Callithrix jacchus: one gene and its partners. The protein of the gene in region 1 purifies or fractionates together with the protein of each later gene. This does not show direct contact. Links are inferred from orthologs where the notes say so. Each region holds a gene or a part of one and is shown in the gene's direction. Other genes may lie near its edges. The genes, in order: SF3B1, TRA2B, ZNF326, SNRNP40, SRSF1, USP39 and MCM5.

Region 1 (4,017 bases):
TGTGCTCTGTCTCTCTGAATTTACCTAAACCTCTTACTTTTTTGTGTAGGTGGTCAAAAGCTTTATTTCCTTAACTGTTTATAAGAACAGTTGAGGTAAATTAGGATTTAACTATACATCTGCTGTATTAAAATTTTGTGAACTTTTAATGGTAATGGAGTAGTGCTTAATATGTAAAGAAGGAAAGAAGCAGTGTAGAACTGCACATGCAGTGTCACCTCAACTGTATGGAGAAATGAAGGAAGTAGCTTGAGATACACATAGCAGATATCTCTGTGTAATAATGTTAAGGATAGTTAAAAAATGACTTTGCTCTCTTCCTGTTTCGTAGTAGTTACTGTCTGTTTTTGTAACCCACGGAAAAGAAACATGTATACACACAAGAGTGTGAAAAGGTATATATAAATTTGAAATGGAACACTAGAAATTTAAATAAGGAATATTCTATTTTAGAACTTAATAGATTTGATTATAACTGAGAATAAAAAATATTATTTTAACAGTGATTAAAATTGTGGTCTTACTCACTCTTTCTTTTTAAAGACACTCCTGGGCATGGAAGTGGATGGGCTGAGACTCCTCGAACAGATCGAGGTGGAGATTCTATTGGTGAAACACCGACTCCTGGAGCCAGTAAAAGAAAATCACGGTGGGATGAAACACCAGCTAGTCAGATGGGTGGAAGCACTCCAGTTCTGACCCCTGGAAAAACACCAATTGGCACACCAGCCATGAACATGGCTACCCCTACTCCAGGTAGAAACTCTCTCATTGAAAATAATTGTTTTTTCCTCTACAAATTATTTAATTTTTTCTTTATGGTATTCTGTGTGCTATTAATGTCAATTACTAGCTAGAATAAGGAGATAAAAAAATAAGTCTTGGTTTGCATTTATAATATAAAAGCAACTAAATGTTAGGGTTGGTCTTAATGCTCTTTTATCTCAAAGATATATGTAATAATACAGTGTTGCACTATAGATTGTATAAAAATTTGCTTTTCTTGGTAGGTCACATAATGAGTATGACTCCTGAACAGCTTCAGGCTTGGCGGTGGGAAAGAGAAATTGATGAGAGAAATCGCCCACTTTCTGATGAAGAATTAGATGCAATGTTCCCAGAAGGATATAAGGTAGTACATCAAATATGAATGAGGTTGTATTTAGGATATGCATTTATTTTAAATAGTAAAAAAAAATTGATCAAGGTTGCATTGGCTTTGCCCAAATTTAGTATTGTCATTCCATTCTCTTAGGTATTTCCAAGTATGTTTCAGTTCCAAAGAGAGATGAAAAGAAATGAACAACAAGAAATTAATTTTTGAAAGAAATCTCAAGGACTATTGGTTAGACTTTGAGAACTGCCGCTGCTTCAGTTTTCCATCAGTCCCAGGAATAAACTCCTTTAGATTGTGGTTTTTTTTTCTTGGTGTTTTACCAAGATTTTGTGTCCTTAAGTTTATGGATTATCAGTGGACACAAAGAATATTCTTGTTTTTTTTGGTGGTGGTGGTGGTTTTTTTTTTTTTTAGATGGAGTCTCACTCTGTTGCCCAGGCTGGAGTGCAGTGGCATAGTCTCTGCTGCCTGGGTTCCAGTCGTTCTCTTGCGTCCACCTCCTGAGTAGCTGGGATTATAGGCGTGTGCCACCATGTCCAGCTGATTTTTATATTTTTAGTAGAGATGGGGTTTTGCCATGTTAGCCAGGCTGGTCTTGAACTCCTGACCTCAGGTGATCTGCCCTTCTCAGCCTCCCAAAGTGCTGGGATTACAGACGTGAGCCACCATGCCCAGCGTTCTTTTTGCCATATCAACTTGAAATTTATTTTGAACTATAAAATTTTCTAGGTAGCTGACACTTAGGGAGTATTTGTTAGTCTAAAGGTAGTCTGTGGTCGTATAGCTGAGATTATAACCAGAGAAACCAGATGACTTTGTAAATCATCTGATGGCCTTTACAGAGCTTTTTCTGTTAATGACTGTTGATTTTTAACAGTTTGTGTGTGTTTTTTTTTTTTTTGGTTTTGTTTTGTTTTGTTTTAGAGACAGGGTCTCACTCTGTTGCCCATACTGGAGAGCAGTGGCATTGACATAGCTCATTGTAGCATCGAACTCCTGGGCTCAAATTATCCTCCTGCCTCAGCCTCCTGAGTTAGCTGCGGCTACAGGCATGCACCTCCACACCTGGCTAATTTTAATTTTTTTTTGTAGCGATGGAATCTCAGTGTGTTGGCTAGGTTGGTCTCAAACTCCTAGGCTCAAACTGTCCTCTCACTTTGGCCTCCTGAAGTGCTGGGATTATAGGCATGAGCCACTGTCCCCAGACTTGTTTTGTTTTTGATCCCCTGTTATTTTTGCTAAGTATGTGTTTCAAGTTTGCATGAATTTTTGCTTAAAAGCTTTTTGTAGACTCCACATAATGCTGTGGGTATAGATATAACCTACTGTTGACTGCCTGAGCTTCTTTCTCAGTCATAGTCATTGATTTCCTTAGTGTCACTAGGAGGAAAAGTCTCCCTTAGTGTGAATCCTCCTAAAAAGCAACATCCTTACTAATGAATATAAAAATATAGGAGACCTTTAAATTCTTAATGGCGAGTGATTTCTGTGGACTTGAAACTGATTTTTCTAGGCTTCACATCTATAGAGTATCCACTTTATTCAGAATGCTTAGTGGTCTGTGCTGGTGCAGACATTAACTAGCAACGAAAAATATCTGTATTTTGCAGATATTTTATATATATCAAATTATATAAAATAGAGATGGGGTCTCGCCTTGTTGTCCAGGCTGTTCTCAAACTCCTGGGCTCAAGTGTTCCTCCCATCTCAGCCTCCTAAAGTGCTGGGATTACAGGCATGAGCCACCACACCTGGCCTGACCAGAAGTTGTAATTTTTTTTTTAAGTCTGTTACCAGCTTAAAAAAAAAATTATTTGTGATTTTTAGCCAATAGTTTTTGAAATTTTACTGGTTTTGCAAAAGGTTTAATTAGGTGGTATATTTTACAGGGCTTTGGTAAACATTTTGGTTTTAGTTTTTATGAGTTTTACCTTAAAAGATTTGTTTTTAGAGTGCAGAAATTTATGTGATATTTTAATACTAAAATATAGCTCTTTATATGTTGTATACACCGTATGAGCTTATTTCCAGTTATATAAATACTTATTAAACGTTATTTGCTTTACTAGAGCATTTTTTGGAATTGCTGACTCAGATTTTATTTTCAAATTTTTAATAATTTGACATTTTGACCCACAACATGTTTGAACGTGATTAGTGTTTTCTAAGCTCTTCTCTTGTATTTCCTCAGTTCCCTATACAGCTGATATAATCAACAGATGAGAAGCATGTATTTTAAGTTTCTAATTACATTAGAAAAGCAAGATAGGTGTTGTCTCCAAGCAAATAAAAACCTTCTAACTAATAAACTGTAAAATATTTTAAGTGCAAATGTTTTTCAAGTTAAGATAATTCTAAAATGTCTTATAACTTTTATTAGGTACTTCCTCCTCCAGCTGGTTATGTTCCTATTCGAACTCCAGCTCGAAAGCTGACAGCTACTCCGACACCTTTGGGTGGTATGACTGGTTTTCACATGCAAACTGAAGATCGAACTATGAAAAGTGTTAATGACCAGCCATCTGGAAATCTTCCATTTTTAAAACCTGATGATATTCAGTACTTTGATAAATTACTGGTAAGTATTGCTAGCAGAAATAAACTATTACATTGTGTTCCAGAATTATAAATCATAACATTTCAATTTGCCTTAACATTTGTTTTCTTTTTACTATAGGTTGATGTTGATGAATCTACACTTAGTCCAGAAGAGCAAAAAGAGAGAAAAATAATGAAGTTACTTTTAAAAATTAAGAATGGAACACCACCAATGAGAAAGGTAAGTCTCAGTTTGTTAAGTTGTCATGTTTGTTGCTTATGTAATTAAAAACAAATTTTTGTAGTTTTTGTAGAGACAGGGTTTTGCCAAATTGCCCAGGCTGGTTTCAAGTGATCCTCCT
Region 2 (2,946 bases), on another chromosome or scaffold:
CATGATCTCAGCTCACTGCAACCTCCGCCTCCCAGTTTCACACGATTCTCCTGCCTCAGCCTCCCCAGTAGCTGGAAATACAGGCATGTGTTAGCCAGGATGGTCTTGATCTTCTGACCTCAAAATCTGCCCTCCTTGGCCTCCTAAAATGCTGAGATTCACAGGCATGAGGCACCAAGCCCAACCTATGATGTCTTTTAAGTAGAGCAGAGTGATACTGTTTATTTTTTATCCTTGTAGAAATATGTGGGATGTGCATATGTAGGATCTCTGTTTCCTTAACCAAAGATTTTTTTTTAAGTAGGTGTATACATATACTGTAACAAGGGAAAGAGCAGTGCTTGTTCAATATAGGTGAGAATTTTAACAGACATAATGTTCATTTTCTAGTTAATGTAGATATAAAAAGTCACGTACAGAAATATAAGGGACACTTGGTATTTTTTTTCTTCATAGTGGCAGCTCTCGCCGTCGGGATTACTATGACAGAGGATATGATCGGGGCTATGATGATCGGGACTACTATAGCAGATCATACAGGTAAGTTATGAAGGTCACCTTCTGAATCTCAGTTACAGTGTACAGATTAGCACTATGCTTAAGTTTTAGCCTTTCATAAAGGCTTTGCTGTAGTACTTTGAGAAACGCAAAGCAGAAGCTTAAACCAGATTTTAAAGTGATATGTCTTTAAATTCATGTGTGATTGGATTTCTGTTCCAATATTCTAAAATTTAAATGGGGTTTAAGTCACTTGGAATGTCAATAAAATAACATGGTTTTTTTCTTCTTCTTCTTTTTTTAACATGGGGTTTCACCATGTTGGTCAGGCTGGTCTTGAACTCCCGACCTTGGGGATCCGCCCGGTCACGTGTTTTGTGTGAATTAGCTGTTTTAGAGTGACAGGCCAGGCGTGGTGGCTCACACCTTTAATCCCAGCACTTGGGGAGAGGCCAAGCTGGGCAGATCACCTGAGGGCCAGCCTGGCCATCATAGTGAACCCTGTCTACTAGAAATAAAAAATTAGCCAGACATTACTCAGGACACTGAGGAGAATCACTTGAACCTGGGAGGTGGAGGTTGCAGTGAGTTGAGATTGCACCACTATTCCACTCTGGGCAATACATCAAGACACTCAAAAAAGCTAAAGCAAAATTATAGGCTGAGGCAGGGGGATCACTTGAACTGAGGGATTTGAGACCAGTCTGGGCAGCATAGGGAGACCCATCTCCACAGAAATGAGTCAGGAAGCTGAGGAGTTTGTGGCTGCAGTGAGCCAGGTACACTTCCGCTAGAGCAAGGCCCTGTCTTAAAAATAAAAAAAAAATCAAAAAATAATTATAACCTGTGTCTTAGTATTATAAAAACAAATTTGCAATGTTTTATAAAAGCAAATAGCATAAGCCATTGCTTTTCAAGCAGTTTCTTGGTATTGCTGATGCATGGGTTGTACGCTTAGAGGGCAGGTAAAACTGATGCTGTGAAAAACCAGAAAATAATTAAATAAAATAATTAATTAAAAGGGTAAGTGACTTTTTGTGACTGCCAAAAATTTGATATTTATAGAGGTTTGGGTAGGGAAATGCCAATCATTGTTAAAGATATCTTTGAAAATAACTTGATAAAAGTAAATTAAAGTTGGGAAATTTGGGTCCTCCCTTGCTTGTCAAAATGTGTAATTTGACAAGTGAAGTAGTGTAGTTAGTATTGACCACAGTTGTCATTGATACCTTGATAATTGTACATTATTTGGTAATGTTTAAGAAATTAACAGTTGTGGATCATTGAAAGTGAGTTTTTAAGTATGTTCTTGTTCAGCATTTTATCACCCATGAAAACCCTTTTTTTGTCTTTAAAGTATCACTCTATTCAATGGTACTTAAGGTATTAATTTGACAGGCCTGTTTGACATTTTTTTAAAATAGTACTTAGGAGTGTTCTGTGTTCTAATAATACTACTCATTTCAGCCACCAGAGAGAGCTCTATGCCAGTTTCTAAAAAGGGTGGCAAATCACTTGACATACAAGGAGCATCTCATTCATGCTCTATGAAAGTTTAATTTACTGAATGAATGACATAATTTTACAAAACTGAATGCATGTTGTCCTTGTGTCTTTACAGAGGAGGCGGTGGCGGAGGAGGAGGATGGAGAGCTGCTCAAGACAGGGATCAGATTTACAGGTATTCCAGGAGAGGATTTAGCATCTGTACAACAGTAGAAAGCTTCACATAAAGATGTTGCCTACTAATATTTTGTAAATTATAAGTGAAATACCCAAAATCAAACTGTTTGAAGCTCATGAAAATATTCTAAATGAAACTAAATGACTGTGTAATGTCTTGTATATTTGTAAATATTAATTGGGTTTGGAATACGTTATTAGTGGTGTACCATTTTATACCTTAATGATGTTAAAGATAGTCACTGTTAAAGAACTAGTTTTTTGTAATTACTTTTGTTATGTTCTTGTATTACATTTTCTTTGCTTTTTGTAAGCATCTCGGGTACATTCAAGCCAGGCTTTTTTACACAAAACTAAATCCCGAAGTGCTTGTGAAATTAGTTTTGGGTGTTAGTTCATGAGGATATTGTGGGAATTATTTAATGGTATGGGACTTCCCTCTCATTGTTTTGGAGACAAGAGTGTGGTTCGGTTGCCTAGGCTGGAGTACAGTGGAGCAATTCAGCTCACTGCAGTCTTTGTGCGCGCGCGCCACCGCCCCTTGCTGGGATTATGGGTGTGTGCCACCATGCCCGGCTAATTTTTTGTATTTTATAGAGACAGGTTTTCACCATGTCGCAGGCTGGTCTAAAAACTTTTGGCCTTAAGTAATCCTCCTGCCTTGGCCTGGGCATGAGCCACTGCACCCAGCCAGGAATTTTCTTTTACCTCTCTTAACATACGTAAAATTTAAGAGGTAACCAGATTAAAATATAGCAGGGATTG
Region 3 (4,017 bases), on another chromosome or scaffold:
ACTCATAATATGTCACTATTTTATGATATAATTTCTTTAAAGTAGTCAAATTATTTTCATTTATTAGAGCAGTTTTGAGTTATGAGGATTCAAGATTGAGTAAATCACTATTCTTGTGATTGGTTCCTTCCCTTGGATATTTGAATGCTTTTAACATAATAAAGAGGATGGAAAGGTGTATACCTACCCTTAAGGGAACCTAGGGAGAACAAGATGGATGTGTGAGAGATGTACACATATAATACTATATGGTGAAGGATACCAGAAGAGAAGTACAATGTAGTCTTATGAGAAATAACTTCTTCATAAGGGTGTAGGAAGCTGAGCGTGGTAATTCTAGCACTTTGGGAGGCCGAGGGGAGGTGGACTCCTAGAGCCTAGGAATTCAAGAATATCTTGGGCAACATGGTGAAACCTCATCTCTACAAAAAATATAAAAATTAACCATGGTCACAGGTGCTTGTGGTCCCAGCCACTTGGGAGGCTGAGGTGGGAGGATGGATTGAGCTTGGGAGGTGGAGGTTGCAGTAGGTTGAGATCATGCCACTGTACTCTAGCCTGGGAAACAGCAAGATTGCGCCACTGCACTCCAGCCTGGGCAACAGAGCAAAAAATAAATAAATAAGGGTGCAGGGAAATCAGGGGAGGCTACGATGATGGAAGTGGTATTTGTGTTGATCTGGGAATGTCAGGGTTACAGGAGGAGTTGTGAGAGGAAGCCCAGGTAGAGGCCATGGTTTGCCATAAAAGCAAATAAACAGGAATGTGTTATTGATATTCAGAAAATTGAGAGCAGTGTAGATTGAAGTGACTCTAGTGCGGTGAAAGGTGTAATCTAATTTAAACATTTAATGAAGGTTTGCTATGTGCCAGATATTGTTAAAGGAATTGGTGAGTAAAGCCAAGAAGGAGAGATTAGGAAATTTCCCAGATGCTAGCTGAAAACATTTTTGTCTTTGTTTTTTGAGGCTTAAGGAGCTAATGATGCCCTTAGAGGAGTAATTTGCTCTTACCTCCTAGAGGAAGTAATAATAACTAATTGAATAATTATTGTGTGTTAGAAATTGTTCTAAGGGCTTTATATGTATTTTTAAAAATCCTCATAACACATCTATGAGCGTTCTGATCTCAATGTAAGAAAACCAAGGCCCAGAGAAGTCAAGTAACTTGCCCAAGATCACAAAATGGAATTAGGATATGAACTCAGCAGTTGGCTTCAGAGCTTATATTCTCAACTATGAAAGTAAATCTAATAGCATTGCAAATAATTAATTAGAAAATGGGACTAGAAACAGAAACCAGTTATGTCACTGCTAGCCTAATTCAAGGAAAAGAAAATAACATGAGATAGAAACAATTATGCTCTGTGCAGTGGCTCACACCTGTAATCCCAGCTCTTTGGGAGGCTGAGACAGGTGGATCACCTGAGGTCAGGAGTTCAAGACTGGCCTGGCCAATTGAAAAAAACCCCGCCTCTACTAAATATACAAAAATTAGTGGGCGTGGTGGTGCATGCCTGTAGTCCCAGGTACTTGGGAAGCTGATGTGGGAGAATCTCTTGAACTCGGAAGGTGGAGGTTTCAGTGAGCCAAGATCTCACCACTCCATTCCAGCCTGGGCAACAGAGCAAGTCTCCATCTCAAAAAAACAAAAAAAAAAAACCAAAAAACAAGTGGGACAGTTCATTCTGGAGTGGCTCTTGAGCTTACAGATGTATGCATTTGTCCAGTCCAGACCTATTAGTTATCCTGAAGTGAAGTGGTCATTAGAAGGTAAGACTTTTGATCACCTAAGAATTCCATAGGAGTGAATTATGATTGTCTGATGGTGTGCCACTATACTTAGTTGATACTACCAGTGGTTTAGAAGCTTGAGGATGGAACAACATGTAAAATGTTACAGAACTTTGGAACTTAATACTTCTTGAGGTTTGCTTTGGCTTTTTAATTGGTCTAGGCTTGAAGTAGATAATTTATATATCCACTGCTTCCATTTTTCCTACGTGGAAGCTCCAAGGTGGGCCAGAAATGCGAAGTGGTAAAATGACTCTGCTGTCTAAATAAGTACTTAAAGAAATATTGGTTTTTTTTTTTTTTGGATTTAAGCTAATTTTAATTCAGTATAAAATGGAAGAAAGGAAATAATTTATGTTGATAAAATTAGTTTCAATGGTATATTCTTGTGAACTTGTTATAAGTGAAAAAAGTAATATTTGAAGGAAGACTTTTTTGTCTTATAGAATGGCATTTACATGTTCGTTTTGTAAATTTCGAACATTTGAAGAGAAAGATATTGAACTGCATCTGGAAAGTTCTTCACATCAGGAAACATTAGATCATATACAGAAACAAACTAAATTTGATAAAGTAGTTATGGAGTTTTTGCATGTAAGTAGCTGTTTTTGAAATGAGAAGCATTTTATTGATGTGAATTTCTTATGATTTCATTTTTCACTTTCCCCATCTCTCACATTTTGTATTTCTAAAATTTTAGTTTACTATTTAAAGAAAGAGTTGTTTTAAAATTAACTCATAATTGCTTGTGAATACCTCTATAATAGAGTTTGTTAAAATTAACCCATAATTGCTTATGAATTCCTCTATAATTTGGATTTGTTATTTCAGAAATTATTACATTTTTCACAGTTGTTTCTGGTGGAGGTGTCCTTTAACAACTTTATTGATGTAGAGTCAGCTATCATCCATTAAGTGGAGTTATGCTAGATACATTCATTCATTATTTCAATTGAGCCTTAAAACAACTCATTTTTATCATGAATGATTATGCTCAGAGTAGCTAAATGACTGTTAGGTGGCAGTGCCAGGAATTCAGAGGTACCGTAAGTGTTTGGTAAAGGGAAAGACAGTTGGGAATGTTAAAGAATGCTTAGGCCGGGCATGGTGGCTTACGCCTGTAATCCCAGCACTTTGGGAGGCTGAGGCGGGTGGATCACGAGGTCAAGAGATTGAGACCATCCTGGTCAACATGGTGAAACCCTGTCTCTACTAAAAATACAAAAAATTAGCTGGGCATGGTGGTGCGTGCCTGTAGTCCCAGCTACTCGGGAGGCTGAGGCAGGAGAATTGCCTGAACTCAGGAGGCGGAGGTTGCCGTGAGCCGAGATCGTGCCATTGCACTCCAGCCTGGGTGACATGAGTGAAACTCCGTCTCAAAAACAAAAACAACAACAGCAACAACAAAAGAATGCTTAACGAAGGGGCTTGAGCTGGACTGTTTATTGAACATACAATTAATTTGGACAGAAGAGATGGAATTATTAGAAAGAAATACAGTGATTATCCAGGCCAATATAATCTTCACAGAACTGTGACCCTTGATTAACACTTTTCTGTAATGTATTTCCGTTGCCCTAACTTAAATACCCACCTACTCTGAGAAGACCACTTAAATATTCTGGCTCCTTTTGATCTCTTTCTGTATATGCTTAAATAATTTTTGTAGGTTCCTAGTATTTTATGAGTCTCTTTTCAACTAAATTGTAAGCTCCTTAAGAAAAGATATTAATTCTTATATAGCAGATACTATGTCTTTCATAGAATGAACATAGTGCTAAGCATTATACTAAGTGCTCATTGAAAACTTTTGATTTTTTCTGTTTTGTTTTCTAGGAGTGTATGGTGAATAAATTCAAGAAAACCTCTATTCGTAAGCAACAGACAAATAATCAAACAGAAGTAGTCAAAATAATTGAAAAAGATGTTATGGAAGGTAAATATTTAAAACAAATTATTTAAAAATTTTACATGCATTTTAATATATCATAACCTGTTGAAATATAAATGTTAGCCACCAGAGTGATACAGTACACAGTCATATATGCATTTGCTCTGAGTGGGTTATCAGAAATGAACTTCGTTGACTTCCTGTTCTCATGCTTACAAATTTATTGCTACCTACCATTACTTCCTTCACTTAAGTTTCAGAGGAAAAGTTACCTTTTCCTCTAAATGAAAGACACTTCTCTCTGTCCTCTGTTTCTTCTATTCCTTCTCCCTA
Region 4 (4,487 bases), on another chromosome or scaffold:
AAAAAAATAAAACTGGTCTCTAGTCATCTTCTAGTGTTCCCTATTCAGCTTGAGGGATTCAGTGATAGTGAGTGAATGGTACCACCATCTATTGAACTATATAAGCCAGAAACCTAGGCGTTATCTGTTATTGCTCTCTTCACTTCCTAAAATCAACCCATCACCAAGTCCCACCCGTTTTACCTCCTATATACCTCTGGAATCTGTCCAGTTCTCTGCAGTTCCACCCAGGTCTCAGTCCTCACTGACATCTCTAACAAGAATTACTACATATCCTAAGTGGTCTATATACAGCCACAAGGGCTTCCTCAACCCCAATCTGTTCACACCACTGAGCCCGAGGAATCAAGCCCCCTCCTCCACCACACCCCACTGGGGGAAGACGGCTCAGTGGTATCTCATCCGTTTTAAAATAAAAGCTACAAATTTCTGCAAGGTCTGACCGCTATCACATAGTTTCATCTTGTGCCATACTCCCCTTCATTCTCTTTGTACCGGCCACACTGGTTCTTTGTGCTTTAGGCCGTTTTCCTCCCGAGTGCCTCAGGGCTTGGGAGGAAAATGAACAAGTAGTTCTCTATGGAAGGTTCTGCCTTAGCCTCTTCACCTAATTAATTCCAATTCTTCCTGCAGCTACCAGCGCAGGCATCTTTTCCTCTGAAAAACCTGCATCAGGCAGCACTAGAGGCACTTCCATGTATTAGTGAGGTCACTGTTTAACGTTTTCCCCACCAGACTTAAACGCCTTGAGAGTAGGGACCGTGCCTGGTTCACAACGTATCCCCAACGCGCTGCACAATAAATATCAGCTGGACGATTGAGGAAATGACCACGTTCACGGGCATGAGTCAAATTTCTCAACAAGACTGTGTCTGGAGAAGGAGCCGGACATTTCCTTCATCACGGTCTCTCTCAGCGGGGCATAGAGTAGGCCCTAACCAAAAACTGCAAAATCAGTGGCAGAAACAAGTCAGCCTCCTCGGCCAAATAGGGCACCGGTGGAGGCTGGACACAGGCCCTTCTCCCTGGGAATGCCCGGCACAGGACTGGCCACGATGGGCGCTCTTGAAAAAGGGAGCCGCGGGGGCTCGGTCCTGCCGCCGAGACCCCAAGGCTCCGCTCCTGCCCGGAAAGGGAGCCCAGGCTACTACTTACCAGAGCTGGGGACTCGGGGCCCGCCTCCCACCCCTCGCTATCAGCACCCTCAGCTGAGAAGGGCAGGTTCAGACTGCACAACAGAGGCGTTGCCTCCAGACTCAGACAGCCACCCACCCCGCTCTTCCTCATACGTACTAGGCGTCAGCTCCTGGTCCCCAAATCGCGGCGTTGAAGTAAACGCCTAACCCAGTCAACCTGCGTGTTTCCACCCACAACACCCAGCGCGCCTAGGAAGGTCGCCAGCTCCGTTCACCAATCCTGGAATCGCGCTCTCATGACGTCAGAAAGATAGGCCCAGTAACAAGAGACTATCTGGAGGGCGGTGCAAATGGGAATATTGAAAGCCGATTGGTTCTTCAAGCTGGAAGTTGTGGAGGAAGGACTAAGTTGAAACCAATTGCGTGGCGCCTGAGGGCTGTAGCGCGTTCGGTGGCGGCGCTGAAGAGACCGGTTTCCGCCATGATAGAACAGCAGAAGCGTAAGGGCCCGGAGTTGTCGCTGGTCCCAGTCAAGCGGCAGCGCCATGAGTTGCTGTTGGGAGCGACGGGGTCGGGCCCCGGAGCCGGGCAGCAGCAGACGACACCGGGAGCTTTGCTGCAAGCGGTAAGTGAAGAAGCAGGCGGCCTTTGGCCCTCAGCTCATCTTCCTCTCCCTTCAAAGCGCTGTGTCTGGTGGCCCTGCACCGACCCTTTCCCGCATTGCGGGGGCAGAACGAGAGTTTCCCCCTAAAGTTAAAGCACATAAACACTAAGCGCCCCATAGTTTGCGGATACTCCGTACATGTTCCCCTGTTTGGCGCTCGTTTTCAGCCTCTCGACTGCCCTGTGAGGTGGCTTTAGAAGTAGAGTTGAATTAGAACCTTGGGCTCAAAACCCGGGCCCGGGTTTGAGCATCCTAACTCACATGGATCTAGCTAGCGTAGAACAAACGTTCAAAAAAGTTTGTAGAATGAACGAGGGAGGGAGGAAAGAAGGGAAATGATTGGGGTTGGTTGCTTTTCCCTTTATTTTTCTGCGCTAGTATTATTAACAATTAAATAGCAGCTAACATTCTTGGACCCTTGTACTAAAGTGTTTCCCATGTGAAATATCTATTAATCTTGGTAGCAGCCTGTTAGGAAGGTTATTAACCCATTTTGCAGATGGAAAAACAAACTTACCAAGTACATGATAGAAACAGATTTTGAACTGAGAAACCATGCTCCTAACTATTTTATAAGATAGAAATCGTGATCACACTTCCAGTGTCCTGTTTAGGCTCACATGAGGAAATATGAGTGTCTTCTTTCTCGTGTTCTCAACAAATCCTGCTGGCACCGTCCTCAAAATAAATCTAGAATTGCTACTTCTCCCATCTCCATCACTGCCTCATGGCCTAAGCCATTGTTACCTCAACTGGCATTTTTGTAGTAGGGTCCTAACTGGTCTACTTTCTGCCTTTGGACCGGCACCTGTTACCAAGCCAATAACCAGATGAATCCTTCTAAGTATCGGATCACGTTATCCTCTGCAGAAAACTTCCTGGTGGCTTTCTACTTCACCCAGAGTAAAAACCAAAATTCTTGTAATCATTTGCCCTCTTTCCCTTTACCTCTCTGACCAGTTTTTCATTGCCCACCTGGCTCCAGTTACACTCTCTTCCAAGCCTCGCCTCAGTCCTTTGCATTTGCTGCTCCCTCTGCGGGGATAGCTCTTCTTCCCAAATGTTTACAAGGGAAGAAGAGCAATCTCCTTCTACTAAGCTCCTTCGAATATTTGCCCAAATATAACTTTTTCAGTAAGGGTTTTCCTGACCACCCTATTGTAAATTGCAATACCCTGTACTCTGGAACCCACATTGCTACTTTCTTTCTTTCTCTCTTTATTTTATTTTATTTTTTTTAGAATCTCCATTTGATGCCCACTTGCTTAGTGCAACCTCCGCCTCCAGGGCTCAAGTGATTCTCCTGCCTCAGCATCCTGAGTAGGTGGGACCACAGACACTACTAATTTTTTTTTTTTTTTTTTTGGTAGAGACAGGATTTCACGCAATCCACACACCTTGGCCTCCCAAAGTGCTGGGATTACAGGCATGAGCCAACATGCCCATCCTTTCTTTCTTTCTTTTTTTTTTTTTTTTCTTTTTTTGAGACAGAGTGTCACTCTGTCACCCAGGCTGGAGTGCAGCGACATGATCTTAGCTCACTGCAACCTGCACCTCCTGGTTTCAAGCAATATTTGACTCAGCTTCCCGAGTAGATGGGATTACAGGCGCCCACCACTACACCTGGCTAATATTTTGTATTTTAGTAGAGATGGGGTTTTACCATCTTGGCCAGGCTGGTCTTGAACTCCTGACCTCATGATCCACCCATCTCAGCCCCATAAAGTGCTAGGATTGCAGGCATGAGTCACCATGCCCGGCCCATCCTTTTTATTTTCTATAGCACATGACAGCAAGTACATATTTTGCTTGTTTTCTGTCATCCTCCCTCCTACTCTTCCCCTTTCCTACTGGAAAAGGATATTTTCAATATACCCCTTTCCTTTGTTTGTTGCTGTTTGCCCAGTGCCTAGAACATAACCTTTGTTGTTGTTGTTGCTTTTTTTATTTGAGGTGGAGTTTCGCTCTTGTTGCCCAAGCCAGAGTGGAACGGCGCAATCTTGGCTCACTGCAACCTCTCCCTCCCAGGTTCAATCGATTCTCCTGCCTCAGCCTCCCAAGTGGCTGGGATCAGAGGTCCCTGCCACCACACCTGACTAATTTTTGTATTTTTAATAGAGATGGGTTTTCACCGTGTTGGTCAGGCTGGTCTCGCACTCCTGACCACAGGTGATCCACCCAGCTAACTTTTATATTTTTAGTAGAGTCGGGGTTTCACCATGTTGTTCAGGTTGGTCACAAACTCCTGACCTCGGGTGATCTGCCCGCCTCAGCCTCCCAAAGTTCTGGGATTACAGGTATGAGCCATCATGCCCGGCCTGCACATAGCATTTTGTAAAAATAAGAATATGGCTGGGCGTGGTGACTCACGCCTGTAATCCCAACACTTTGGGAGGCCGAGGCAGGCGGATCACCTGAGGTCAGGAGTTCGAGACCAGCCTGACCAACATGGTGAAACCCCAGCTTTACTAAAAATACAAAAATTATCTGAGTGTGGTGGCAGGCACCTGTAATTCCAGCTACTCGGGAGGCTGAGACAGGAGAATTGCTCGTAGCCATTAGGTGGAAGTTGCAATGAGCCGAGATCATGCCATTGTACTCTAGCCTGGGCAACAGAGCAAGACTCCTTCTCATAAAATAAAATAGAAATAAATAAATTAATATAGTAGAAAGTACTGAAGACATTT
Region 5 (4,774 bases), on another chromosome or scaffold:
GCTCGATCCCGGCTCACGGCAACCTCTGCTCTCCGGGTTCAAGCGATTCTCCTGCCTCAGCCTCCTGAGTAGCTGGGACTACAGGCGCACGCCACCATGCCCAGCTAATTTTTATATTTTTAGTAGAGACAGGCTTTCACCATATTGGCCAGGTTGGCCTCAAAACTCCTGACCTTGTGATCTGTCGGCCTGCCTCAGCCTCCCAAACTGCTGGGATTACAAGCGCCCGCCACCACACCTGGCTTTTTATTTTTATTTATTTATTTATTTATTTTTTGAGACGGAGTTTCTCTATTGTTACCCAGGCTGGAGTGCAATGGCGCGATCTCGGCTCACTGCAACCTCTGCCTCCTGGGTTCAGGCAATTCTCCTGCCTCAGCCTCCCGAGTAGGTAGGATTACAGGCACGTGCCACCATGCCCAGCTCATTTTTTGTATTTTTTAGTAGAGACGGGGTTTCACCATGTTGACTAGGATGGTCTCGATCTCTTGACCTCGTGATCCACCCGCCTCGGCCTCCCAAAGTGCTGGGATTACAGGCGTGAGCCACCGCGATTGGTTTTCACCATGTTGGCCAAGCTGGTCTTGAACTACTGACCTCAATGTGACCCGCCCATCAAAGTGCTGGCGTGAGCTACCACGCCCAGCCTGATTTTAATTTGAATTCATTACCTTAAAAATCCCTGGATTTAACATAAAAAATCTAGATTTTAGACGTCGGAAAAAAATGTAAAATATTATCTCCCAAGACTGCAGGCAAGTAGATCACAGTCCTGAGTAGCAACCGCGGTCTCTAGTGGTTACGGTTCTCACATCCATTTCGCTCCATTTTATTACCTGAGAGGACTGGTAGTTTCAAAACCTGGTATATCAGTAACTTTTAGGGAAAACTGCACACACGCACCCCTTCTTCCTTCTCTTTATTTGAAAGGAAACAACGGAAACAAATTTGCAAATCTTTTGCGCCAGTCCCACGGATAGGCGACTAACAAGAGATACAGAGGTGTGGGTCCCAGAGGCGGTACGGTGTTTTCACCCCTTCCGGATAGCTAGTACGACCTACCCACCGCGACTAAGCACAAGGAGTGCTGAACTAAGCTATGCAAAGTTCTGACCAGAAGGTGGAACGGTACTTAGTGAAGAGGATTTATTTAGGAATCGAAATCGGTTTTGCTAAATTAGACAAATCTCATTGTCTAAGGAGCCACGCCCTGTTCGCAGGAGGAGAGGGAAGACAAACCAACGCCCCAGCTCTCCAATGGCACCTCAGCTCTGAACTAGACGCACTCTACAAGGATGCCTGGGTTTCCGGAGCAACCGCCCGGTCCCTCCCCCTTTGGCCCCGCCCCCGAGACTCCTTCCCGCCAAAGGCCGTTATCGCCGCAGAGCATGGTGGGACAAGGCTCTAGGCTAGGTTTCACCAAGTCCTTTCAAGGCGCCGAGTTGCTTTCAGAGATCCTCATTCCTGGGGAAACTGACTGTCCTTCAAGACCCGACCTGGAAGACTAGCTCCTTTAGAGAGAGTTCTTTATTTAACTTTTACCAAACGGCCACTCTATTCGCAAACCACCCCAAGCCGGGAACGCGGGGGACTTTTTTTCCCCCTTCGTGCGGAGGGTGACGTCGCGCGTGCGTGCGCGCGCGTACGTTGAACGTAGTCTTCGCAGCGCGTGCGTGTTGGGATCGAATCGCTGTTTCCTTCCGCTTCTCTTCCTCTGTCTCCCCCCCCCCCCATATCCGTGCGCCGAACTGATAAAGGCGCCATTTTGGAGGGGCCGCGGGAGACGTGGTGCCGCTGCGGGCTTGCTCTGCCGTGCGCTAGGCTTGGTGGGAAGGCCCGTTCTCGAGTCCACGTTTTTCGTCGCCGCCATGTCGGGAGGTGGTGTGATTCGTGGCCCCGCAGGGAACAACGATTGCCGCATTTACGTGGGTAACTTACCTCCAGACATCCGAACCAAGGACATTGAGGACGTGTTCTACAAATACGGCGCTATCCGCGACATCGATCTCAAGAATCGCCGCGGGGGACCGCCCTTCGCCTTCGTTGAGTTCGAGGACCCGCGGTGAGGCGGCATGGGGCTTGCAGCCTTGAGGAAATAGGTCCGAGTGGTCGGGGAAGACTCCAAGGCCTTAATATAGAGAACGGGAAGGCGGGGGCTCTTAGAGAGGATGGGGCGAGACTGTATCGCCCATGCAGGAGTCGAGTGAGGAGCTGAGTTGGTGTGGCTTCTCTGGCGCCTCGCCTTGGACGTCCCCGGAGCCCATTCGCAGGCTGGAGCGGGAAACTGAGGCGCTGAGGGCTGGTGTAGTGGCTGGGAGCCTGGCGTGTTTCTGGGTGGGGGAGGGGTCATTCCCATTATGCGGCGCATGTGGGCTCTTCCACGTTGGGTGCGCATGTGCGGGGGGTTCGCTGGTTCCCGACTGAGCGATCTTCTCCTCCTGGTCTTTCTCATGCCTTTTACTGTCTACGATCCCGCAGGGACGCGGAAGACGCGGTGTATGGTCGCGACGGCTATGATTACGATGGATATCGTCTGCGGGTGGAGTTTCCTCGAAGCGGCCGTGGAACAGGCCGAGGAGGCGGCGGGGGTGGAGGTGGCGGAGCTCCCCGAGGTCGCTATGGCCCCCCATCCAGGCGGTCTGAAAACAGAGTGGTTGTCTCTGGTAAGTCTACCGGTTGTGTGGTTGATGTGAAGGGACGGAAACTACTTAAAAATTTTCTCTTGCGTGACCGGTTTAACAATTGCAAATTTTTCATGCTAGGTCTTAAATTGCTTTAGTTTTTGGGTGAATTTAATAAACGAGGATTGCTGCTGTGGTGATTTACCAAATTAGGTTGCGGTACTAGATACGAAGATCCGTTACAAATAATTTTGGACTCTGGATTCCAGAATCTTACCAGCTCTTTACCTGGTATCACTTAAGTACAACTATTAAGTATTTTAAAGTACTCTTTGTCCTAATGTACCTTATCAGCTTAACGTGAAATTTAAGATAATTGATACTAAGAAAAAAAATCGCTTTTTCAGGACTGCCTCCAAGTGGAAGTTGGCAGGATTTAAAGGATCACATGCGTGAAGCAGGTGATGTATGTTATGCTGATGTTTACCGAGATGGCACTGGTGTCGTGGAGTTTGTACGGAAAGAAGATATGACCTATGCAGTTCGAAAACTGGATAACACTAAGTTTAGATCCCATGAGGTAGGTTATATGCTTATTCTTTTTTTTGACCAGAATTGGATACAGTGGTCTTAACAGTGGAATTTGAAGGTAAGGATTCAGGCAAGGGTGTCCAAGTAAATTGCCAGATTTCTGGTTTTAGTTACATTGTATTCATTCAGCATGCCTGAAGCTAGGTGAAAGCTTAGATCTTTCAATGGAAAGTTCTGTCTATCCAATAGGGAGAAACTGCCTACATCCGGGTTAAAGTTGATGGGCCCAGAAGTCCAAGTTATGGAAGATCTCGATCTCGAAGCCGTAGTCGTAGCAGAAGCCGTAGCAGAAGCAACAGCAGGAGTCGCAGTTACTCCCCAAGGAGAAGCAGAGGATCACCACGCTATTCTCCCCGTCATAGCAGATCTCGCTCTCGTACATAAGATGATTGGTGACACTTTTTGTAGAACCCATGTTGTATACAGTTTTCCTTTATTCAGTACAATCTTTTCATTTTTTAATTCAAACTGTTTTGTTCAGAATGGGCTAAAGTGTTGAATTGCATTCTTGTAATATCCCTTTGCTCCTAACATCTACATTCCCCTCGTGTCTTCGATAAATTGTATTTTAAGTGATGTCATAGACAGGATTGTTTAAATTTAGTTAACTCCATACTCTTCAGACTGTGATATTGTGTAAATGTCTATTTTGCCCTGATTTGTGTGAACTGGGATGTTGGGGATGTTTATGGTTATCTTACCTGGGGAAGTTCTTATGTTTATCTTGCTTTTCATGTGTCTTTCTGTAGACATATCTGAAGAGATGGATTAAGAATGCTTTGGATTAAGGATTGTGGAGCACATTTCAATCATTTTAGGATTGTCAAAAGGAGGATTGAGGAGGATCAGATCAATAATGGAGGCAATGGTATGACTCCAAGTGCTATTGTCACAGATGAAATTGGCAGTATTGACCTTATACTAAAAGGCAGGGGGGTAAAAATGATTATATACATTTTCCTTAAAACACTTGAATGTTTTATTCAGTTACCTTTAGCTACAATTGCTTTACCTTTTAAACCTTGGCAATTGTGGCAAAATTATGTTGCCCATTTTGTAGCAACTTATTTTGCTCCCTTCCCCCCATTTTTGTTATAATAGGGACTAATGTGGGAAGAACTGGCTAATTTGTCGCAGTGCTTAGTTACAACTGTTAATGTGTGACCTGCTGTTGGTGTACATGTGGGTAGAGGGTGTCTTTAAATCCAACAAGATAGAGTATAATATCAATACTGCTAAATCTGCATGTCCTCTGTGTGACTGATAGAGCGTTGCTATTTCATTTTTTTAAGACAAAATGAAAGCAAAATAATAGAGTTCCAATGTATTGGTGTAGATAATCTAGTTGGGAATACTTAGGTCTCACCTTCCCCTTTAATATTCATAATTGATTCATATGTTTAAAACACTTTAATTTACAAATTAAATTGCAAATGGGAGCATTAGATTTAGTTTTAGATTAGGTGGGTAGCAATGCCAGTAAACTTAAATTACATAACTTCTTGCAACCACGAAACCTGTAATACACTGTACAGTAACAAGTGTTGGCATTATCAGTTGAA
Region 6 (4,017 bases), on another chromosome or scaffold:
TTTCTCTAATGACCAGTGATGGTAAGCATTTTTTCATGTTTCTTGGCCTCATATATGTCTTCTTTTGAAAAGTGTCTGTTAATATCCTTTGCCCACTTTTGAATGGGGTTGTTTTTTTCTTGTATATTTGTTTTAGTTCCTTGTAGATTTTGGATATTAGCCCTTTGTCAGAAGGATAGATTGCAAAAATTTTTCCCCATTCTGTTTGTTGCTGATTCATTCTAATGATGGTTTCTTTTGCTGTACAGAAGCTCTGGAGTTTAATTAGATCCCATTTGTCTATCTTAGCTTTTATTGCCATTGTTTTTGGTGTTTTAGTCATGAAGTCCTTGCCTGTTCCTACGTCCTGGATGGTTTTGCCTACAGACCATTTTCTTTTCTTTTTTTTTTTTTTTGAGACTGAGTTTTGCTCTTGGCACCCAGTCTAGAGTGCAGTGGATCTTGGCTCTCTGCAGCCTCTGCCTCCCAGGTTCAAGCGATTCTCCTGCCTCGGCCTCCCAAGTAGCTGGGATTATAGGTGCGTGCCACCATGCCTGGCTAATTTGTATTTTTAGTAGAAACTGGGTTTTACCATGTTGGCCAGGCTGGTCTTGAACTCCTGACCTCAAGTGATTCTTCTGCCTCAGCCTCCCAAAGTGCTGGGATTACAGGCTTCAGCCACCTTGCCTGGCTGACTGTTTTCCATCATAACAGACTATATTTACTTTAAAGAAAAAATTTTGGTGGGGCAGGGTGGCTCAGTCATGACAATTGCTTCAGTCTGGGAGGCGGAGGTTGCAGGGAATCAAGATCTTGCCACTGCACTCCAGCCTGGGGGATAGAGTAAGAATTTGTCTCCAAAAAAAAAAACAAAAAAACTTTCAATAGGTTTTTGGGGAACAGGTGGTGTCTGGTTTCATGTACAAGTTCTTTAGTGGTGATTTCTGAGATTTTGGTCACCCATCACTCGAGCAATGTACACTGTATCCAATGTGTAGTCTTTTATCCCTCACCCCCCCCACCATTTCCCCCAAGTCCCCAAAGTCCATTGTATTATTCTTACACCTTTGCGTCCTCACAGTTCCCTATATTTATTTTATGTACAGTTACATGGTTTTATTATGGGAAAACATCAAATTTTAAGATAATTTTTATATTAGTTTGGAGTTGAGAGATGGGAGAACTGTTTCCTAGATAGTTATCTTTGCTTCAGCCAAAATGGATGATGAAGAAAAGAGTATTTGGATTTTACCCTTCTACCTTATGAATTTGAGTATTGTCACAGCATAATTAGAGTAACAAAAGGAAATTGTTAAATAAATTGATAGAGATTTGAATACATGTGGTTTTTGTTTTGTTTTACCCTTATTATTATCCACATCAGCGAAGTATCTGCAGAACTGTAGTTCTTATGAAACTCAATTTTTTTTTCTTGTTTCCATTATCAAATCAGTGGTATTTCAGACACTCAATGTTAAGGACAGTTCTGTAATGTGAGCCTGGGTAGGATTCTCCAAGGGTCCATTTAAGGCTCTTTAAGGCCATCACAGATAGATCACAGGATTCTATTAGGAGAGCTTTAGCTGGAAGAGCTTGGCTCAAGGGGTCCTACAAAGGGGCTTTGGGTTAATTGGAGTGTTTGATTTTCAGGCTCTATCTAATGTTCCTCCTCTCCGGAACTACTTTCTGGAAGAAGACAACTATAAGAACATCAAGCGTCCTCCAGGGGATATTATGTTCTTGTTGGTCCAGCGTTTTGGAGAGCTGATGAGAAAGCTCTGGAACCCTCGAAATTTCAAGGCACATGTATCTCCCCATGAGATGCTTCAGGCAGTTGTACTTTGCAGTAAGAAGACTTTTCAGATCACTAAACAAGGTAAGGAGCAAGTCATTCATGTTTCCCTTGACTTCAGGACAACAAAACCAGTTTAATGAGCAAATTTATTTCCACATGGCAGTGAATTTTTTTTTAACTCTATCACCCAGGCTGGAGTGCAATGGTGTGGTCTCAGCTCACTACAACCTCTGCCTCCCTGGTTCAAGCGATTCTCCTGCCTCAGTTTCCCAAGTAGCTGGGATTACAGGTGCCCACCACCATGCCCAGCTAATTTTTGTATTTTTAGTAGAGAGGGGAGTTTTACTTTGTTGGCCAGGCTGGTCTCAAACTCCTGACCTCGTGATCCGCCTGCTTTTGCCTCCCAAAGTTCTGGAATTACAGGTGTGAGCCACTGTGCCTGACCTCTAATGAACTATTTTGACTGTTTCTGTCTCTCCAAACCCAATTTGTTATTATCTTATGAGTAAAGTGGACACTGTAACTTTGTACCTGAATCTCATGTGGTATCCTCTAGTGTCCGTATTAGTTTATTCAACATTCAGTCATGGTGCTAGGTTTTAGAGCAGCGATAAGAAACATGATTTTTCCCTTTGAAGAACTTCCAGTCTAGTGGGGAAATTGTTATGTAGAAAGGTTGAGTGTGCTGGCATAAGCCTATGGTCTGAGCTACTTGAGAGGCTGAGGCAGCAGTATTGCCTGAGCCCAGGAGTTCAAGGCCACAGTGAATTATGATCATACCAGTGCACTCTAGCTGGGTAACGGAGCAAAACCCTGTCTTTAAAAATAAATAAGCAAATTTCAACTATCCTTTTTTTAACAAAAGGTAATTATAGGGTGTTATGTGCTGTGCTGTGGGAGGGAGCATGGAACAAGGACCCCCTCAACTGAACATGTAGGAGGTAGATGAGAGGTCAGAGTGGAGGAGGAGAACCCTGAGTTTTAGGTAGAGTTAGAGGCAGGTTGGGGTGGGGGCAGGGCATTCTAGGTAGAGAGGACATGGTGGGCAGAAGTGAAAAGTGCCTGGCATAGACGGACTGCAAGTAACTGGATCCGTGGACTCCAGGGATCAATGGAGAGTTGAGGTGTAGATCTTGAGGGAGGGACCTGATGGCCTGGTTTATAAGCCACCATAAGGAGCTTGGATTATATCCTGATAACAGCTGGGGTCATTTAAGGCTTATTATTATTATTATTTTTTGTGATGGGATGTCCCTCTCTTGCCCAGGCTGGAGTACAGTGGTGTGATCTTGGCTCACTGCAACCTCCGTCTCCTAGATTCAAGAAGTTCTCCTGCCTTAGCCTCCGAGTAGCTGGGACTATAGGCACCTGCCACCACACCAGGCTAGTTTTTTTGTATTTTTAGTAGAGACAGGGTTTAACCACGTTGGCAAGGTTAGTCTCGAACTCCTGACCTCAGGTGATCTGCCCACCTCGGCCTCCCAAAGTGCTGGGATTACAGGTGTGAACCACTGTGCCTGGCCTCACTGAAGGCTTTTAACAAAGGTATGATATCAGAGTTGTTTTTAAAACATTATTCTGGCTGGGCATGGTGTCTCAAACCTATAATCTCAGCACTGCGGGAGGTCGAGGTGGGTGGATTGCTTGAGCCCAGGAGTTAGAGACCATCCTGGGCAACATAGTGAGACTCTGTATCTACAAATAATTTTTTAAAATTAGCCAAGCATGATGTCAGGTACCTGTTGTTCCAGCTACTTGGGAGGCTGAGGTTGGAGGATCGCTTGAGCCTGGGAGGTAGAAGCTGCAGTGAACCATGTTCACACCACTGCACTCCAGCCTGGGCAACAGAGCGAGACCTCCGTCTGTAAAATAAAAACAAAAACATTATTCTGGCTGAGGATTGACTTAGAGGGGATGTTGAGTAGTGACTTTTAAGAGTCTCTGTTACTTAAGGAGAAATAGGGGGAATCAAGGTGGTAAGGAATGGGGCCCATGGAGCACTTATTTTAGGGTTAGTAGGAAATAAGATATACTTTGGGTTGGATAATATATATTGATCAGAAGCCCATGATTTAGTCTCAGCTGAGCAGAAGTTATAAGTCATTCGAGCTTGGTAATTGATGGTGTTTAGTAGTTTACAACGTGGCCAATAAAATCTTAATCAGGTGCCAGGCACGCTGGCTCATGCCTGTAATCCTAGCACTTTGGGAGGCCAAAGTGGGAGGATTGCTTGAGCCCAAGAG
Region 7 (4,017 bases), on another chromosome or scaffold:
TGTGCTCAGCCAGCATAAATCACCTCTGACTTGGGAGACATGTTTTCAATCCCTGGGCCTGTCGCTCTAGGTTAATGGTGGGAAGTTGCTTAACCTCTGAAGCCTCAGTTTCCATATCCGAAAGTGTGGAGAAGATAGGCAAGCCCACACTGTGCTTACCATGATTAGAGGTGACCTGGTCGCTGCCATTGGCCTTGCATGGAGCTGGTATTCAGGAGTTGGGGCTGCTGTTAGTTTTCCTGCTGCCACAGCTCCCTGCTTCCTCACTTCAGTAAGTCTGATGACATTTCTCTCCTCCACTTAGATGCGAGAAGACGACCGTGTGGCAATCCATGAAGCCATGGAGCAGCAGACCATCTCTATTGCCAAGGTGAGTAGCCTCCGTGGAGAGCGCCCCCAGCAGCAGCCTGGCCCAGCCATCCTCAGGCTACCCTGATTGGCTTTGGCTGGGACCAAGTTCTCGTTGCCCATGCCTAGAATCCTAGAACGGGGTGTGTGTGTAAGTGTATGTAAGAAGGCATCTCCCAGGTTCTCTTTGCCTAGGCCTAGAATTGTGTGTGTGTGTGTGTGTGTGTGTGTGTTGCTCAGGCCTAGAATCACGTGTGCGTGTGTGGGGGAGTATGAGTATGTATTGCCTAGGCCTAGAATTGTGTTTATGCGCGTGCACACGCATGCATAACTGTGTGTGTGTGTGTTGTGTGTCCGTGTGTAAGAAAGAAAGCATCTCCCAGGGCTCTTTGCCATCTCCTCCCCCTTCTCATCCTCTGTCACCTCTTAGGCTGGGATCACCACCACCCTGAACTCTCGCTGCTCCGTCCTGGCTGCTGCCAACTCAGTGTTTGGCCGCTGGGATGAGACGAAGGGGGAGGACAACATTGACTTCATGCCTACCATCTTGTCGCGCTTCGATATGATCTTCATTGTCAAGGATGAGCACAATGAGGAGAGGGATGTGGTGCGTCCAGGGCCAGGGCTGAGGGCCATGGGGCCTGGCTCCAGGCGGGCTTGTGATTGTGTGGAAGGAAAACGGAGAACAAGGGCCTTGGCTGGTGAAGTCCTAGCTGTCAGGCTGTGAGGTTGGGGAGCATGTCAGAGAGTATTTGTTGGGGACTGCAGAGGATTGAAGTAGGGGTCTGGAGTCCTGTGGCCTGGCTCTGCCTCTGCTGTGAGTGATAAACTGTGTGACTGGGGCTAAATCAGTTTCTCCATAAGGGCCTCAGTCCCTTATATGTGAAACAGAGGAGTTGACATTGGGTTATAAGTAATAGAACCTCAGTTCTGGTTAGTAAATTTTTCAATGAACAGAATAGAGTGGTTTATAGAATTGAGAAGTCCAGCAGCTTAAGGCCCAGGTATATCTGGATTCTCACACAACTGTCTCTGCCTTTCTGCTCTGCTTCCCTTGGTGGAATCTTTGTACTTGGGCAGCTGTTCCTTTTGTGGTGGCAAAGACAAAATAAGATTTTGTCTCATTAGCTTATAGCTTGATAGCCCCCAGGAAAGAGACACCCCTTTTCTAGTGCTTCTAGCAAAAGTCCCAGATAGACTCCTGTTGGTATGGGTAGATCAAATGTCCATCCTTGAAGCAGATACACGCCCCAAGTAGGGGTGGACAGGCTGAACCCCACCCCTTTATGGACCAGGGCAGAGGAGCAAGGAGCATTAAATTCTCTCTAAAGGAGAATCCAGACACTGTCGTCAGAATGAGGGTCTGGTGCTGAGCAAACGGGATGAGCATGCCTGATACCTCAGCACCCTTTCTGGATCTGTGTTGCTAGGGTCCCATGAGCTTTTTCTGCCTGTTCTACCTCAGTGTTGGGACCTAGGCTTGGGAGGGCCTGTGGGATGACCCTGTGTCCCCTCTTCCCCCTTGCCCCCTCTCCCCCAGATGCTGGCCAAGCATGTCATTACTCTGCACGTAAGTGCACTGACACAGACACAGGCCGTGGAGGGCGAGATCGACCTGGCCAAGCTGAAGAAGTTTATTGCCTACTGCCGAGCGTGAGTCCTGGATGCAGGCCCATGGGGGTGAGGTTGCCCAGCTTCCCTGGGTGGGAGAGAACCCAGTCCCCTGATCCTGCACCTCCTCATGCTCTACTGAAGCTGTTCTGTTCCCTTCTCACCTTGCACAGCTCACTGGCTCTTGGCTTCAGTTTTCCCATCTTCACACCAAGGAGGTGGGATTTAGATGGTCTTGAAGTTCTCCTCAAGTTTGACATGCAGGGAGGCAGTGAAGTGTGGACATGGTGGATATGGGCTCTGGGTCATACCTGCCCTCACTGTATGACTCTGGGCAAGTTGGTTGGCCTCTCTGAGCCTTGATTTCCCCAGGCTGATGTTTCCTAGGATTTTTGTAAGGATTACATAAGATGATCAGTAAGTGCTTGGCATCGCCCTGCTCTAGGTAACTAAATACTCAGTGAATGGTAGCTGCAACTTTATTGTTCTCCCAGATTTTCAGTAATAATAATGACATACATAGTACTGGCCTGGTACAGTGGCTCACGCCTATAATCCCAGCACTTTGGGAGGCTGAGGTGGGTGGATCACTTGAGGTCAGGAGTTTGAGACCAGCCTGCCCAACATGGGGAAACCCCATGTCTACTAAAAATACAAAAATTAGTTGGGTGTGGTGGTGGACACCTATAGTCCTAGCTACTTTGGAGGCTGAGGCAGGAGAATTGCTTGAACCCAGGAGGCAGAGGTTGCAGTGAGCTGAGATCATGCCATTGGGCAACAGAGCAGACTTTGTCTCAAAAAAATATGTGTATGTGTGTATATGTACACACACACACTACTTTCTTTGTTCTAGGCATTATTCTGAATATTATTCAGTACCTTTTTTTTTTTTTTTTTTTAAAGATGGGGTTTCACCATGTTGGTCAGGCTGGTCTTGAACTCCTGACCTCAGGTGATCCGCCCGCCTTGGCCTCCAAAGTGCTTGGATTACAGGCGTGAGCCACCACGCCCGGCCTTATTCAGTACTTTCTATATGAATTAATTGTAACCTTCCCCAAAACCTACCAGGCTAGGTGTGCTATTATTCCCTTTATGGATGGGGAAGCGGAGGCAAAGGAAGTTAAGTAACTTGTCCAAAGTCACGTGTCAGAGGTAGTGGAGCCAGGAAGTGAACCCAGTTGCCTGCCTCCAGAGGCTATGCTCTTAACCACAGTACTTAGATTCTTGTCATACAGCACCTTGATGGTCTTTTGAAGGAGCTAACACCCAGGGGTCGAGGGCACTCTGAGTTCACTGCTGGTGGGGGGCTGGTGGGTCCCTGATTCAGTACCTCTGCTGGGGTGAGTGTGGACAGTTCCTGGGTCTTCATCCAAGTCTGAGCTCTGTAGAGCCCAGTCTTGAGAGGCTTGGGCCCACAGCTGTGAGTCAGGGAGCCCTGGATTCTAATCTTACCTCTGCACTAAGTCCCCAGGTGGGCTTGGGGAGTGCCCTCCCTCCCTTTGGGCCTCAGTCTCCACATCCTTAGGATGGTTGAGCTAAGGCTTTCCGTACATCAGTGATTGTCAGTTGGCCGGTGGGCTGGAGGGGAGGGGATGGGATGGGGTAGATGCTGATCAGATTTCCCCACACTTCCCCTCCCAGGAGAGTCTGAGGTGCTCCCAGCCCTTGGACTGCAATCACTGCCAAGCCTCCTGTGGGTATCATCAGCTTGTCCTGTCTTCAGATGTGTTGGGGTGGAGGAATTTGAGACTGTGCCACTCAGTGGTCCTTCATGCTGCTGTGATTGTGCCATTGTTAATTACATGTGTGGGGACAATGCCGTTGTTAATTACAGTATGGGGAATGTTGTGGCAAGACACCACACAATGTCCAACAGTGGGGAAGGGGCGGTTTTCGCCTTGCAGATGTGGCCAGGCTTTTCTTCACCTGTTTTCTAACAGGCATCTGTATTTCTCTCCAGTATTGATCTTTGTGGCAGCTGCACAGAGCCAGATTTCCCTTATATCTCTTCCGATGGTTGCCCCCGCTCCCCGGCCCATGTGCATGGGCAGCTGTGTT

Evidence for each region.
Region 2: the proteins of SF3B1 (region 1) and TRA2B purify together in Homo sapiens (co-immunoprecipitation; 3 studies listed by BioGRID and IntAct, with this or other methods). This does not show direct contact. The link is inferred for Callithrix jacchus from reciprocal best matches to the Homo sapiens genes SF3B1 and TRA2B.
Region 3: the proteins of SF3B1 (region 1) and ZNF326 purify together in Homo sapiens (co-immunoprecipitation; 3 studies listed by BioGRID and IntAct, with this or other methods). This does not show direct contact. The link is inferred for Callithrix jacchus from reciprocal best matches to the Homo sapiens genes SF3B1 and ZNF326.
Region 4: the proteins of SF3B1 (region 1) and SNRNP40 purify together in Homo sapiens (co-immunoprecipitation; 3 studies listed by BioGRID and IntAct, with this or other methods). This does not show direct contact. The link is inferred for Callithrix jacchus from reciprocal best matches to the Homo sapiens genes SF3B1 and SNRNP40.
Region 5: the proteins of SF3B1 (region 1) and SRSF1 fractionate together in Homo sapiens (co-fractionation; 3 studies listed by BioGRID and IntAct, with this or other methods). This does not show direct contact. The link is inferred for Callithrix jacchus from reciprocal best matches to the Homo sapiens genes SF3B1 and SRSF1.
Region 6: the proteins of SF3B1 (region 1) and USP39 purify together in Homo sapiens (co-immunoprecipitation; 3 studies listed by BioGRID and IntAct, with this or other methods). This does not show direct contact. The link is inferred for Callithrix jacchus from reciprocal best matches to the Homo sapiens genes SF3B1 and USP39.
Region 7: the proteins of SF3B1 (region 1) and MCM5 purify together in Homo sapiens (affinity purification with mass spectrometry; 4 studies listed by BioGRID and IntAct, with this or other methods). This does not show direct contact. The link is inferred for Callithrix jacchus from reciprocal best matches to the Homo sapiens genes SF3B1 and MCM5.

What each region holds. Positions count from the first base shown.
Region 1 is NC_133507.1:118,370,403-118,374,419, reverse strand, and holds part of SF3B1 (splicing factor 3B subunit 1), read left to right. Parts: intron 1-543; coding exon 544-756; intron 757-1,010; coding exon 1,011-1,132; intron 1,133-3,497; coding exon 3,498-3,695; intron 3,696-3,794; coding exon 3,795-3,896; intron 3,897-4,017. UniProt on the Homo sapiens protein: Component of the 17S U2 SnRNP complex of the spliceosome, a large ribonucleoprotein complex that removes introns from transcribed pre-mRNAs.
Region 2 is NC_133516.1:14,863,012-14,865,957, reverse strand, and holds part of TRA2B (transformer-2 protein homolog beta), read left to right. Parts: intron 1-456; coding exon 457-540; intron 541-2,119; coding exon 2,120-2,179; intron 2,180-2,946. UniProt on the Homo sapiens protein: Sequence-specific RNA-binding protein which participates in the control of pre-mRNA splicing. Can either activate or suppress exon inclusion. Acts additively with RBMX to promote exon 7 inclusion of the survival motor neuron SMN2.
Region 3 is NC_133508.1:127,450,665-127,454,681, forward strand, and holds part of ZNF326 (DBIRD complex subunit ZNF326), read left to right. Parts: intron 1-2,239; coding exon 2,240-2,387; intron 2,388-3,629; coding exon 3,630-3,729; intron 3,730-4,017. UniProt on the Homo sapiens protein: Core component of the DBIRD complex, a multiprotein complex that acts at the interface between core mRNP particles and RNA polymerase II (RNAPII) and integrates transcript elongation with the regulation of alternative splicing: the DBIRD complex affects local transcript elongation rates and alternative splicing of a large set of exons embedded in (A + T)-rich DNA regions.
Region 4 is NC_133508.1:67,930,781-67,935,267, reverse strand, and holds the start of SNRNP40 (U5 small nuclear ribonucleoprotein 40 kDa protein), read left to right. Parts: upstream 1-1,587; 5' UTR 1,588-1,617; coding exon 1,618-1,761; intron 1,762-4,487. Other genes in the region: ZCCHC17 (zinc finger CCHC domain-containing protein 17), read right to left, coding at 1,156-1,287. UniProt on the Homo sapiens protein: Required for pre-mRNA splicing as component of the activated spliceosome. Component of the U5 small nuclear ribonucleoprotein (snRNP) complex and the U4/U6-U5 tri-snRNP complex, building blocks of the spliceosome.
Region 5 is NC_133506.1:108,329,016-108,333,789, forward strand, and holds the start of SRSF1 (serine/arginine-rich splicing factor 1), read left to right. Parts: upstream 1-1,745; 5' UTR 1,746-1,868; coding exon 1,869-2,062; exon of another isoform or gene 2,063-2,478; coding exon 2,479-2,663; exon of another isoform or gene 2,664-3,028; coding exon 3,029-3,201; exon of another isoform or gene 3,202-3,401; coding exon 3,402-3,588; exon of another isoform or gene 3,589-3,961; coding exon 3,962-3,984; coding exon of another isoform or gene 3,985-4,000; 3' UTR 4,001-4,774. UniProt on the Homo sapiens protein: Plays a role in preventing exon skipping, ensuring the accuracy of splicing and regulating alternative splicing.
Region 6 is NC_133515.1:27,393,758-27,397,774, reverse strand, and holds part of USP39 (ubiquitin carboxyl-terminal hydrolase 39), read left to right. Parts: intron 1-1,629; coding exon 1,630-1,855; intron 1,856-4,017.
Region 7 is NC_133502.1:206,269,749-206,273,765, forward strand, and holds part of MCM5 (DNA replication licensing factor MCM5), read left to right. Parts: intron 1-304; coding exon 305-370; intron 371-778; coding exon 779-955; intron 956-1,888; coding exon 1,889-2,001; intron 2,002-4,017. UniProt on the Homo sapiens protein: Acts as a component of the MCM2-7 complex (MCM complex) which is the replicative helicase essential for 'once per cell cycle' DNA replication initiation and elongation in eukaryotic cells.